Linked DNA regions of Lepisosteus oculatus. The main gene of each other region encodes a partner of the protein of the gene in region 2 in a complex. Links are inferred from orthologs where the notes say so. Each region holds a gene or a part of one and is shown on either strand. Other genes may lie near its edges.

Evidence for each region. The genes of interacting proteins can lie anywhere in the genome.
Region 1: ccdc135 (region 2) and tcte1 share a complex: the UniProt entries of both Homo sapiens proteins name them as parts of the nexin-dynein regulatory complex. The link is inferred for Lepisosteus oculatus from reciprocal best matches to the Homo sapiens genes DRC7 and DRC5.

The regions. Positions count from the first base shown.
Region 1 is NC_090697.1:43,242,827-43,249,804, reverse strand, and holds the start of tcte1 (dynein regulatory complex subunit 5), read right to left. Parts: upstream 3,024-6,978; 5' UTR 2,977-3,023; intron 1,990-2,976; 5' UTR 1,954-1,989; coding exon 1,749-1,953; intron 1-1,748. UniProt on the Homo sapiens protein: Component of the nexin-dynein regulatory complex (N-DRC) a key regulator of ciliary/flagellar motility which maintains the alignment and integrity of the distal axoneme and regulates microtubule sliding in motile axonemes.
Region 2 is NC_090715.1:11,489,682-11,497,273, reverse strand, and holds the start of ccdc135 (dynein regulatory complex subunit 7), read right to left. Parts: upstream 3,008-7,592; 5' UTR 2,950-3,007; exon of another isoform or gene 2,932-2,949; intron 2,125-2,931; 5' UTR 2,114-2,124; coding exon 1,968-2,113; intron 1,386-1,967; coding exon 1,211-1,385; intron 694-1,210; coding exon 568-693; intron 375-567; coding exon 180-374; intron 1-179. Other genes in the region: lcat (phosphatidylcholine-sterol acyltransferase), read left to right, coding at 6,368-6,524, 7,444-7,592. UniProt on the Homo sapiens protein: Component of the nexin-dynein regulatory complex (N-DRC) a key regulator of ciliary/flagellar motility which maintains the alignment and integrity of the distal axoneme and regulates microtubule sliding in motile axonemes.

The DNA.
Region 1 (6,978 bases), on a different chromosome or scaffold from region 2:
TGAGTTAATATACAAAATAAATTAGCATTGAATACATTCATACATTGATAGTAATTAAAAAATAAAATTCAGATATTTCTTATACTAATAGTTATTAATTCTATATATTGTTTAATTAATTACAAACAGTAATGAAATACAAAGTTCCATCCTTAAACAAATACCATCCATTAATACAGATTTATTTTAAAGAGATAAAGAAAGGGCAGATCTCTGGAATGTCTGAGGTATTTGCCTATAGACCAATATGTTAAATTCTGAAAAAATATACTCTGTTTAATGTAATATGTTGTTTTATTTCCTTAATATTCAATTTAATGTGTTTTGTGTGATTTAAGAGTTGATTTTTTGCAGCTGGGAAGGTAACGATGTAGTCATAGTATTGCTTCACAGTACTTTAAAGGAAATATACATAATAGAAACTACTCCTTCAAATAAATAACAAGTGTCCATGAGAGAATGGAGGTAATTTGTATCCCCACAGTGTCAGTGTTGGATCAAGAGCACTACAGGGTTTTCATACTGGAACTTAATAAATTTTAGTATTCCTAACACGCACTGTGTCTTGTATTTAAAATGTCTTTTCTGTGGTTAATCAGACAGTTTCATCACTGACTTTCATTAAGCCTCACTCAAGAGCATGCTTCAGAGCAGAACAGACTTTACACTTAATCTTGATTGAAGAAATGGCGTCAAGTTCTAACTGAAATGAAATTACTTTGGGGCTCACCAGTTCAATATTATGTGTCATGAATTGTGACATACAGAAACCTGCTAAAAGGTCTTATGAAATGGTATGATTCACTGGGGGCACAAACACATCATGATCTTCATTCTCAATGTATATTTTATCATGTTAAATCATGCAGAAAAAAGATGTACGAAATTTTATTTTGGTGTTCAAAACTAAAAGTGAATGGTTTCTGACATATTTAAAAACTCATTACTGCCACACCTATACATTTTGGTAGTAATTGATCATTAAAGGTTTTTGAGAGCTTTAACATTTTACAACTGGTTAAATTTAGATTAAGTGCTTCTATTTTTTTCTTTCTGTTTTAGTCATACAATCTATAAAAGCAATGACATGTAATTTGAATTTATCCTTCTCAATTAGGGAGTAAAATGAGAATCAGACCAGAAGTCATCTGGGGAATACAAGATTTGTTTAGAAAACAGGAGTAAAGCTAGTCAGGACTTTATCATACTGTAGCTCTAGAATACAATGTGCCCCGAAGACTCCACATTCTAACACGTCTTTGCACTTTGATTTTGCTGTTAACAAACAAGTGGTTAACACATGTGTTAACACATGTAAAGCATGCATTTAAAATCTAAAGGAACAAGTAATAGGTTTATTCCATGCTGAGAAAAAGAAGAAAGAAAACACAACATTTCGGCCGTGGAGCCTTCTTCAGGTGTCCAAGCCTTCTTCCACATGGAATAAACCTATTACTTGTTCCTTTGCAGCCTACGCATGCTGACGCAGCTACTCACCTGAACTACTTCAAAATCTAAAACCTTTTTCCTTTTTCCATCCTTTTTCTTTGGATTTCCAGTCTCTAAATATATTCTTAAAAAACTGTTTCTGAAGTCTGAATATTGCCATTGTTTAATAAGACTTTAAAAAACCTGATATGTTAATTCCAGAAGGCTCTTGGCTTCACATGCTTTCACTTGAAAGCCACACTCACATACATGCTCTACAATATCATCATAAAAATGTGATAAAGGCAAAAAGAACCTACTATGGAAGTTTTTAACGATATGTTGTAGGCACAGGTTTTTAAGAAGGGGAACTACAGCTAGAGACCATTCTGGGTCCTCCGCAATGATCCTTCTCATTTTCCGTGGGTCAGCAACAGGATTGAGTTTGGCCACTGGCGGATAAATGCGTGGCTTTGTGCCAGGACTGGCTGCTGCCTTGCTTTGGATGTCCATGATATCCGGCATCTTCCTGTATGCCCTAGATGTTTACAATCCTGTCTTCTGAAAAGAAAGAGGAGACAAACGAAAGCGATACACTCATTTTTCCATAATACCATCTCTGCATCAAAACTCCAAACAGCATAAAAACAACTCTTTACAGGCTTACTGGCTAAAAGCTAAGTAAAGTACCAAGAACATTTTTCTAAGTAAATCCTGAAGGATCCTAACTGATCAATTCCACTATACTGTTTGATTGATTTTAAGCATAAATCAAATCCCTGTAGGAAAAGGACAGCCTCATGTTAATTGCAAACCTGCGTTAATTACGTTTTCACTCTCCATTTGAAATATCTATGAGGATCAACACAGTTTATGCCCTTCAAGACAATAGTGTTGTTTATGTTGTTAAAAGCTCCCTTCAGCTGCCATCTTCAAAAGATGAAAACAGCAGGCTGAATTAACAATGGAGTAGAATGGCAGACCAGCAAGTTGAGTTGATGATGACACAGTTGAATCTTATTGATCACCTAAACAAACAGTCTTGAGTAGTCAAAAAGGCAACATTCTGTCCCATCTTTAAGTGGTGTTTTTATTCTGTTTTTTATTGACTGCATTAGAAACAATTATATGTCAGACTAATAATCCAAAATCCAAATCCACTATAGATAAACACCTTAAATTATACATTATAAGAACACTGGGGCAAAACTATTCCTCCATGCCTTTATCCTATTTCTCCATAACTTTCAGCAATTCTACATTATTATTGTTATTTTTGTATTTTCCCAGTGACCCTCAGGAAGAGCACAAAACTTAGCACACTATAGTGTCTAAAACACAGCCCCTTAACATTGTGTCTATAATATAATTCGATGGTGTCGGTTTACACGAGATGAAATGTCTCCTAAGTATGTAAATATGACATTTTACAATGGAAAAAACATATTGCAAAAACATGTTTGCAATACCCATAACACAAATAAGAAGGAAACTTGTTCTATGCACCCTGACACAAATTACATTATTTAGATATCCCTCCAAACATACCTTACTGGTACTTCTTCTGTCTTGTTTATTTACTGTATCCATGGTAACGCTTGACCCTTGGTAACCCGGAACCAGTTAGTGATTGGCTACAACACCGACGCACTGTCATACAAACCGAAAGTTGTGGTTTCTAACCTTTAGTTCAGCCTGCTCCCATTATTAAAAAAAAATTGAAGTAGGGTAGTTATCACATAACTATAGAATGAAATACATATTATTTTAAATTATAATTTAGTTAGACATGTTTACATTATCCAGTTTATTTTTACTGTCAAGTAAGAATACATGAAAATGTAATACTTTATATATTTATGAACTTGAAAGATATGTTAATTGTGCTAACATGCCTGTGCTTCATTTTTTAGATTTGCCTTCTGAAAGCTGGCTTGTCTCGAACCCTCAGAGCGTGTACCACTGTAACATCGTTTAGTGCACTCTAATAAAATCATAATACAACTGAAATGTTTTAAAATGGTTTATGATATATAAAGTGTAGTGTTTTGAAGTAAAAAAAAATATTAAAATGTGACATACTGCATTCACATCGACATAGCGTTTAAACGGTTACTAATAACTTTACTACGCATATATAAAGTAGTAGAAATAAATTACATAAAAAACTAAATATATTTATAAATATATTTATTTAGCTAAATATCCTAAAGTCAGATTATTTCACATTCTAAAAAGTTTTTGTTTTGTTGTAGCATTACTTTTTGCTTTACAAATGCAAATTTATGGTCCAACAACACAAAGATTTCATAACTTTTTTAATGATCATAAAAACAATAAAATGCATAATACTTTTAAAATATTTCATTAAACCCATGGCCAAAGAGAAACTAGAAATAAGCTTTGATCAAATTCTACATTCTATTTTCCGTAGGTTATTTCCACAACGGCTCATTAGTGGCCAGAGATAAAGCTTTTTTCCGCGACATTAAACAACCAGGAAAGACTTCCTCGCCTTCTGGAGGGGAACGCCAGTCCCCTGCAGAGCAATGGAAGTTTCCATTCGCACAGCTGGAAAGACTGGAGCAAACGGGGTAACGCACAAGCTCAAGGTACAGCACCAATGTTTATCGCAGGAACATTTCCACTAGGCAACCCTTATATACAGTACATATACAGTATTATTATTTAATTTACTCAAATAAAGAAATAAACTGCAACATCGTTTAGTGCTCTCTGATAAAATCATAATATAATTGAAATGTTTTAGAATGGTGTATGATATTTACATAGTGTTTTAAAGTAAAAAAAAATCAAAATGTAAAAATGTGACAGTTTAATTATTTTAGACTTGTGCTTGGTAGGTGGGAAAGATTAATACATTTTTTTTATGACATGTCTATGCATACAATAATGTTTTCTGTTTTCAAAAGGTGACCATAATGCTGTAATGTACTTTACTGAAAAGTGCTTCATGGGTTTTTAAAACGTTGTGCAATGCAGTGCTTCCACTTCACAGCTCCAGAGATTTTCAGACATGTTTTTTGTATTTTAGTTAAGGGGAAAAACAAGATTATAAATAGAAAAGAGAATTTGGGGGGAATAATCATAACAAGGAAATTGGAAAACAATTAACAGGAAAGATACCACCTTAAAAGAATAGATTTTTTTTAGATCTTTGAATATGTAGACATAAGTACTACATGACAGCTGTCTGTATATTTTTAGACACATTTATTAACTTCATCATTAAATTGTAGCATTTACTGACAAACATTTAGTTGTTATTAAGTAAACAGTTTCAGTAATGTTTTACAGACTAATCTACATTGATCCCTTGTTCAGCATTGTGCACAATTTCCATGGCAGATCATACGGTCTGTTAAGACAGTCACCCCTGGGTAACACGTAATGACTTGTGCCTCCTGTTCCTTAAGTAAGGCAGGGATTAATTAACAATGTCAGACTCCTGACTCCAAGCTGTGTGTGGAGGTTCAATTCTACTGCGTGCTGAAGAAAGTTTTATTTAATTTCTAGAACTAGAAGTGCTGGGTATTGAAATGTATCTTCATTTAATTGATTTTTAATGATTAATATATGATCTTGTCTTTGTACAGCACTTTGGACATTTCTGTCAGCAGAGAATTATTTCATATTTATAATTTTTTTCAGCGCTCTCTCCTTTATTTGTCTTCACACTCACAGGGAAGAGAGCAGCTGTCTATTCTATGTGCTGAGAATGCTTGACAGTGTCTTGGAGACATCTGACTCCTCAGCTCCAGACAGACATAGACTGAACACTGGTCTCTGAGCTGTACATTGTTCTGCACTGCAGGGGAAGGGATGTTCACAGAATCAACAAATAACATGACATAATCACAAATTCACACTTGTCTGTCTTTTGAGTTAACTTAATAAACTGTAATACTTTTGCTATAAGTTATTTTAATTGATATTTGTACTATAGCAAACACGGTATAGTACTGAAAGATCGATTTATCAGCGATGAGTGGCTTACGAGGTTTAATTGAAATGGAAAAATGTCTTTCATTTCTACATCTCTTACGTTTTTTATTTTCTGTGCGAATGTTAATTTATGATGCAGATCTTGTTTCTCCTCAAAGTTGAGACAGGAGTGAAATTGAATTGAGGGGTTTTGGTACACAATTAGGTTGTTTTTGTTTTTTAAAATCCAAATGAAAAGACAACTTTGTTTCTCAATCACAATTTTTCAATAACAAAGATGAGGAGATCTTAGATATATGAAGCCAACCAAGGGGAAATGTATGACGCCACAGTGTGAAATTGGAAGAAACTCTAATGTACAGTGGTGGCAGGCATCTCATCTTTTATTCCACCACTACTGAAGTATACACCAGAACATAAAAAAGTTAACCAGCTTGGAACACCACTCCGTCTCATAGACTTAAGGATCCAGCTTCTTTCTCCAAATCTTTTTTTTTCCACAAATGCACATATGAGATTTGATTCTCCTGAAGATCATACAACATTATCTTCCTGATAACTAGAACGTGATAAAACTGCACCGTCTACTGATAGCTATGCATGCCCACACTGCTAAATTTGGGTCTTGTGACAGGTGGTTGAGCTGCTGGCTGGTCGATTAAGTAAGTATTCCTGCAGTGAGACTCCTCATTTGCTTTGTTGCTGGCTAGGAGCACAGAGAATTTCATCCCACCGCGGCAGGAAACATACTGATTCCAAAATCACCCTCCCTCTGGTTGCCAGGGTAAAGTGTTAGACAGCACACAAAGGTGGATGGTATAACTCTCCCCAAGGGACACTGACGAATGGAAACAATGGCTCAACTCCATTTTCTCAAGTCATCGTGATTCTCAGATCCTTATTTCAGGTCTCTGTCTATTTGCCCACACCATAAAATAGTTGTATGTTTTAAAGTTATTGTGTTAAACAGGAAATAATTGACTGATATGAACGTACAGTGCCTTGCAAAGGTTTGAACAGTTTGAGCATTTAGGTTTTGATTAAAAACAGCCGTCCATCTTCTAACCACATCATCCAATTCAGGGTTGTAGGGGAGCCAAGGGCACAAGGCACGGTACACCCTTCACAGGATTCCAGTCCAGGACAGGCCCACGCACAGTCTGAGACACAGACTCACACTAGGGCCAGTTGTTTTACAGAGGCCAATTAAACTACCAGTATGCCTTTGAGCTGTGGGAGAAAACTGGAGCACACTAAAGAAGCACAGGGAGAGCATGCAGACTCCTTTCTTATAGCACCCCAGGTCCAGAATTGAACCCAGCCAGCGCTGCGAGGCAACAATGCTACCCAGTGCGCCACCAGTTTCAGTTGAAAAATGTGTTTTTGTCACAGGGCCCATGCACTGACCAGTTACAGAAGTGATTTCAACCCCCTCTGAAAGCTAAGTGTATAACTCTTTCTGTTTTTTGAGGAATAATCTGCTGTCTAGGGAGTGGCGCTGTACGTTTTCAGCTCCCATGAATGACGGGATTGAATCTCAGAAGGATCAGGGAGCCCTGTAAGCATTGCATATTCACCATTTGT
Region 2 (7,592 bases):
CACTTAGGTTCCCTAAGACTTTTCCTTTGATTCTTTGTTACTCTCAAAGAGCAGACTTCAGTCTTTTAAATAGATCCATGATCTCACCCCCATTTGCCTGCATTATTGTAAAAAGGAGTCAGTTCCAACACACAGCAGGTGCAGGGAAGTCTGTTTTTTTCCATTGCCTAAATGCTCACCTTCTCCTGGTTCACCAGCAGGGGGCACTGCTGGTGTGTCTGGTCCAGCAGACAGAGCTCCTTCGCTGCGTAGCCGCTGACGCAGTATGCATCATAGCCCGCCCCAAGCAGCAGGGAGCATAGCAGGTTTGCGAACTCGAAGCAGGTCCCACGCTGGCACTTCAGCACCCAGGTAGGAGAACGAAGGCACTGGGGCTGAGGAGGATTAAGATTGGTAGAGTAGGCAGTCATACCCGAGATTAAACATTCAAATTCCAAATGCAGTCCGTCACAGGCACAATTTATAAAAAACAATTAACATAGCCAGCCATGCTATAGTGGTCAGATGACCTATTTTCTCCCACTACGGATTCTAGTTGTATTTTTCGGTGCTGTTGCCTTGACTTACCAGATCTACAGGGGGATCCAGAGGCTCGACAGAGAGATACTCAGATACAAAACACGCACAGCCACCCCAGCTGTACAGTTCAGGGTAGGACAGCAGTGTTGGGCGCAGCGTGGTGCTCACAAACTTCTGTGCAGGGAACAAGAGACAAAAAGTGAGTAAGAGAATAGACTTCACTCATTTGTAACCTCTTGTAAGACTCACCATTTCTTTAAAAAGGCAACCTTGATATCCTACACAAATAAAGAAGCTCAGTGCCCAGTACAAGAAGACAACCTTACAATCCAAAGCTTATACAAGTGCTCAGCACCAGTGGCAATGAGGGGAACTGCTGCTCACTGTTGTACTCAGGCTATCAAACAGTTCTGTAGTTTTAATGTAATTTAGTAGCATTCAGGTTTTTTTACTGACCATCCCAAAGATGCACCAAACCTGTGGCTGTTCTGCACCCTGACAGTGAGAAGATTTGGTTGAGGCTAAGCAGCTACTGAGCAAAATTAGGCTCCTGGCAGGACATAATCAATATCTGTGCCATACGAGATGTAGAAGAGCAATACAGTTTTCATGCAATTGCAAGTTCTGTACAAGAGTCACCTCCTCTACCTCATCCATTTCCTGACCCAAAAGTCCTGCCTAGCACACGTACCTCAACCCCACACTCATTGAGGGGATTCAGGAACAGAGGTTTGCGGTCAGGATACAGGTGAGCATATTGAGAGCGGAAATTATCAGCAATGGCCAGCAGCAGCTTCTCCTGGGAGGAGTTCTCCTTGTACGAGGAGGGGAATTCAGAGAGATCTATGGACGACTTAGTCACTGGTCTGAAAAGATGGACAAGTCAGTCATTATTATTATAGTCATTATTGTGTGCACACACTGCACACCCATATATTGAATGTCAAAGGCTCAATCAGTGTGAAACACAAGACATAGGAGCCCACTGAAGTTCAGGAAGAAATCTTTGAAGTTCAAGAAGACTTCTGTCTAGCATCCACTAGAAAAAACTAAACATCATGAAAAGCTGTACTTACTGTGGGCTAAAGGACATATCTACTCATTGTGGGCAACTAGAACTACAGCTTCCAGACTTCTACATCAAGCAATGACAATGATACAATCATTGATTCAAGACCCAGATTACCCAGATTCAAAAGCAATAGAACAATGTCATTGTTTTACTCCCACAGCTGTTAACCTGCTCAATTTGGATAATTAACTGTACATTTTACTTTTAGATACATATTTATTTTCTTATGGTACATGTATGTCTTATTTGTGAATGGGTCCATGTTGTGTTAAATGTATTGCGTACTGTGTTATGTCAGTTACCTGCTTGCAAAGCAAATTTCCCATTTGGGACAATAAAGTAAGTACAGTAATGTTGACATGAGGTTTGTACTCACTGCGGGCTGGCAGGGGTAGTGATGTGTATTTTGGACAGTGTCTCCTCCAGATCCTGCAGCTCTGTATTCAGATCTTCATCCCCTGCCTCCTCCTCCCCCTTCCACTCTCCAGCCTCAGACAACTGCTCCTCTGGCAGCGTCTCCATTTCTTACAGGACTGAAAATGAGAAAGAGGAGGACAACCTGAACTCCACAGGATCACCTCTCACCCTGTCTTCAAAGGGACAGAACTATCAATCAATCAGAGTTTATTTATCAAATGCACAATAATACAGCGTGCAGTTATTATTATTATTATTATTATTATTATTATTATTATTATTATATTATAGCAGTAGTTGCTGGCAACAAAATGTCTATCAATATCAATTACATCATATTTTTGTTTTACTATTCTTTATAATCATATAATCATATAATTGTTCTATCCATTCTTTATTTGAATTACCCTAAATATATCTATAAATATATACAGTAGGAGGCATCAGATTCCTCCTGTTAAGGAGGATTCCTTGTGCTTATTGTGTGCCTTGTGCTTATTGAAACAGAAGGCACAGAATTAAATTATCTACTGTAATTACCAAGAGAAAACAGTGTAACACAGTACACCTTGACATTTTATGTTAAATACATTTAACAATTACAAGTTTACGTCGTGCCACAGAACAGTGTAAATATATCCTTACTGCAGCTGCTAAATATTTAAGGAAGCTCGACCATTTTCCGTTCAGTATACAAAACTAAATAGTTTATCCGGTTTCATAATTTATTTACGGTTTAGTATACGATAGTTTAACTATAGTTTATAAACAGTTTCTGAAACTTCTAACCCCTGTTTTCATAAATCACATTGTTTATTTACTCAGCCGCATAATCAACAGGTACATTCTACTGTCACTGATTGTTTTTTACCCCTTGTTTCATTTTTAAACATGTAGATATTGAAATAAAAGATTAATCGCACCATTCCCCATCACAGTACCTCTGAACGACCGTCCCGTTTACGACCGTCTCCATGGCCACGGCAGCGCTGGATCACGCTGTTCCGTGGCCCCGCCCCTTGCGTAAGCAGCGTGAGGAGACGAGCTGCGGGTTTCTCCTGGTTTGAACTATTGAAAAGCGCGGACATTTTCTACATCTGACTAGTGCTACTTGAAGATATAGATCTTAAAGGACTCCTACGGTTTCATTTTCGATTTTGCACGTGAAAAACAATTACCAAATAACAACAAAAAAAATAAGGCCACATCTTCCTTTTATCTTCTGTATCTTCATGTACAGGCTACGCTCTTAAATACCTGACCGAGCCCCGACCCTTAAAAAGCAGAAAGTATTCTAAGACTTGATGATCTCAAGTTCTAGAAATCTTCTATTAATTAATTAACCCCCACCTTTTGGAAACAGCAATTGCTTGGGGGGGAACTCATGAAAACAATCTAAATGCTAAAAACATTGATCTGTTGAGTGCGGATTCCGGAAACCAGATTCTCACCAGAAATAAAAACCAGACTAGACTAGACCAGACCAGACCATATACGTTTCAAATGTAGCTCCCTCGGTTGTCACGTCGGCGCAGTGGATCGTATTGCTGTGGCCCTGGGTTCCATTCTGGACCCGGGGTGCTCTCTGTGTGGAGTCTGTGCTCCCCTACGATTGTGTGGGTCAATTCCAGGTGCTCTGATTTCCCCCTTCAGTCCAAAGACATGCTGGTAGGTGAATTGGTTTCAGGGAAGATTTGGCCCTGGTGAGAGTGTTTGTGTGCGTGGTTGTATCCGTGTGTGCCCTGCGATAGACTGGTGTCCTGTCCAGGGTGTATCCTGCCTCATGCCTGTTGTTTGCTGAGATAGTCTCCGGCTCCCTTCTGACCCTGTATGGGCTGAAGTGGTTAGAAAATGGATGGATGGATTTCTCTTGAATATTAAACAGTCACCCACTTTGTATCACATTTACGCCTTCAGAGGAAAACTGAGCCCAGGAACAGGCGGGAGGATTGGACAACTACACATGTGCATACTTATAAAATCAATGGGGAAATACTCTCCTGGAGTAGTTCACTTACGAAGGTTGTCCATTGAAAAGTCTGTAGTGACACAGTCATACAACTAGAGGTCGCCAGAATTGCTTCAAAGGACTGGTCTCACCTACAGTATATGAACTGATAGTTTTGATCATTGTCCTGGAACGCAGACAATCTCACATGGGATTCATGGTTCACTAGAAGTGGGGTTTAAACAGGAGTGCTTTTCTGTGATGGACTGGTCTCTCTCATCCAGGGTGTATCACGCTGTGGGCCAGTTGCTTGCTGGGATTGGCTCCGTCTCCCCCACCACCCTGGACTCGATAAAGCAGTTAGCGGTTGTAACTTTGTTAAAACTCTCAAAGTCAGGATCACCACATAGACCACTCATGTCCCATCAGTGTTGGAGAGTTCTATGTGCAAAGGTTGTTTGACCAATGTTACCAGAGTCTGCAATGTTCCACACTATGTAATCATTGGATAACTACATTGCAAATTACCCTGGGTGCCGAGTGTCTGCCAGCAAATAAAGATAGTGAAATATTTGGTACGAAGACATCAGATTTCCAAATATTTACTAAAGTAACCTATTGTTCTGCATGAAAATAAAAAGTTGTCTTCTACAGATAGGGAATAATCCAATGAATTGAAATGGATAACAGTTTGAAAGTATGCAGCTGCCTGTATTTTGGGGAAATTTGAACTTTCTACCTTTTTCCATCTGTATTACAAAACAGGTCTGCACTTGCAATCTCTGTGTGACTGCTGTTAATGTTTCACAATGTTCATATAGTACACATCAACTGTTTAGCTGGTTAGGGGATCAATAGTTCATAGGTGAATTAGATAATGTTTCTGTTCACCAATCCATCAGACAGAAAAGAAACATATTCTTAGGGAACTTCCCCTGTAGAAGAACTTCTCTGATTCAGTATAGGACACAACTTGTAAGTGCAAGCTAAATCAAAACAGACAGTAGCTTTCTATTCCAGAAGCGTATCTGGTTGCAAACAATGCTTGCTCATGCCTGAGTAACTTACCCGACAGAGGAACAGTGGCTGGGATCTTTAAGCAGATGCAGAGGATTGGATTTGATATCCTATCCTTTCACAAACAATGGTAACAAAACAAGGCCGCTGATGACATATCAGCCAGTCTTGATTTGATTTCAAGGCAAATGACTAAACTCTGACACAGTCCTCACACTGTCTGGCACTTCAGTCAACAACATTTTCATCATAGGCTCAGGATTTGCACCTTATTGCATCAATTTGCAGACAATAATAGAACTGCAATGTTGACACAATTGGTCCTGCGGTGCAGCCATAGATACCCGGCTCTCGTACAGGACGCTGGACTTCAGTGGTGCCGTGTGTAATAGGTCTCTTACTGTAAGAGTTATGTCACTTGTCTGGTCTGGACTGTGCAATTGAGGCTCAAGTGATGACAGTTCAAGTACAGGGTCCAAATACACACACTGCTTCTTCCTTCAAACTGAGTCTTGCTGGGGTAAGTGCACTGTTGCTCCTCCTAACCTGCCACTCATGGTGGCAATGGGATCCCTGGCTCCCCCAGGATTGAAAGGGACTATAACACTGTAGCGGAGGCCACTCTGATCAAGAGGTTGAACTCACATTGTAATGACTCAACAAGCTCTTTACCACATTCAAGTCCACCGGGCCACACAATTAGCAGTTACATATATATTCAATTCAATATTCCAGTAATTCACCAGTAAACCTGGAGCGCATTTCTTCAACTTGAGACAAGATAGCATTGTTCTGAGTGACTGCATTAAAACAACATTCAGAGTTAATTGAATAATGTCAGAATGGAGCAAAATAACAGCTTGTATAAAATAAGTATTTAATACCAAAAATACCTAATAAAATACCTGTTTTATTTGAAATAAATAAAATACTTTTTTATTTTTTAACCAAATAAAAAAGCTGAGAGGAGTAATTGAGAGATGAGGTCAAATTATTGCGAGAAGCATCTGTAACCCTTAAAGTCTGGACTTGCCCATCCCAGGCAGAAGATTTCTAGCACAGAGTGATTCCTTTTTGGCCCACTGTCCTCCTCTGAAAGGCTAGGCTTGCCCCTCGGTGTAAAACATTGCATAGAAATTGTTTACTCTAGCCAGAGCTCAGATAAAAAGCTTGTGATTTGTCAACGATGTCTAAAGCCGGAGTCTCATCAGTATTCAGGTGGTGGTGAGATCTGACTGGAGCATTCCACTGGCCTACAGGGTGCTGAGTGCGTACACTGGGCTTCCAGCGTGGGAGAGCTTCTGCCAGAGACTCTGCCCTCGCAGCCTTTTTCTCCATTGGCCCTGATAAGACAGCTGCAGAGGCTCATCAGCGCAGCAGCGAGAGAGAGAATCATGGGCCGCCGCACCTCTGTGTCGCCTCTGCTTCTGCTGCTGGTTCTGGGTGTCTTCCCCCGGCCTTCGCCCGGATTCTGGCTCTTCAATGTCATCTTTCCTCCCAGCGTCGAGCCCAGAGAGTCCCAGACGAACAGCACCCCGCCTCTCATCCTAGGTGAGTGTCAGGGAGGGCAGTCGGGTTCCGGGTCTCCGGAGGAGTGGCGGCCTTTTTGTATTCCAGGAGCATTTTTCGAAAGTATGCATTCAAACCTACCGAAAGCCGTGCTCTTTCAGCTGGTTTGTTAATGCAGTCAGGAGCGTTAAATAATGACACAAAGGCCTGCTGTTAGGTTTCAGAAATAGGTTTTTGTTTTGGGAACATGTGTTTTGTGAAAAGTAGGGAATATCGTATGCATCTTTGCGATTCCAGTGGGTGTTCTATGAATAGTGAACTCAGACTGAGAATTGGTTGTTTCTACTTCATTTATCATTCACCACAACAAATATCCTGCACTATACAACAGCTTCTAAAATAGCCTCTGAAGATACTATTATTATACAGACCTGTAGTCAAAGCTTTTCTCAGAGTGGAGATACTATCAGTTGGACATGACCCCGGTTTCGGCCTGCATTTTTAACACTTGACTGTTCAGGTTTCATTTGCACTGATAAGCTGTGAGCACAGCTTGCCAGGGGTGTCTCATACAGCATGCTGTACTATACTGTTGCACTTTTGGACAAATCTGTGTAAGGAAGTTCAGAGTAGATGATGGACCTATTTAGACTGAAAGTAGAAGATACTTTTTTGCTCAGAGATTTACCACCTGTCCCTCCTAACTGGCTCCCTAGGATACATCTGGATAAGACTCAGTCACACAGTTCTACTTTAAGTCCAACAAATAAGATGGGAGTTAACCTCCTTTAGTTGTGATCACCCTCTGTCCTTGCATTCTTTTTTAAAGTTAGACACAAGGGAAAAACTGGGAACGAGAATCACGATGAATCATTTACAGTAACTCACTCCAAAAATAGGGGAATAAATTGAAAGGAGGCATGTAAAGCATTCTGACCTGTGACCTCTTACCACTGCACAGTGCCAGGAAACCTGGGAAACCGGCTGGAAGCCAGGATTGACAAGCCCAGCCTGGTGCACTGGCTGTGCTACAGGAAGACGGAGAACTTCTTCACCATCTGGATCGATCTCAACATGTTTATGCCCATTGGCATCGACTGCTGGATAGAT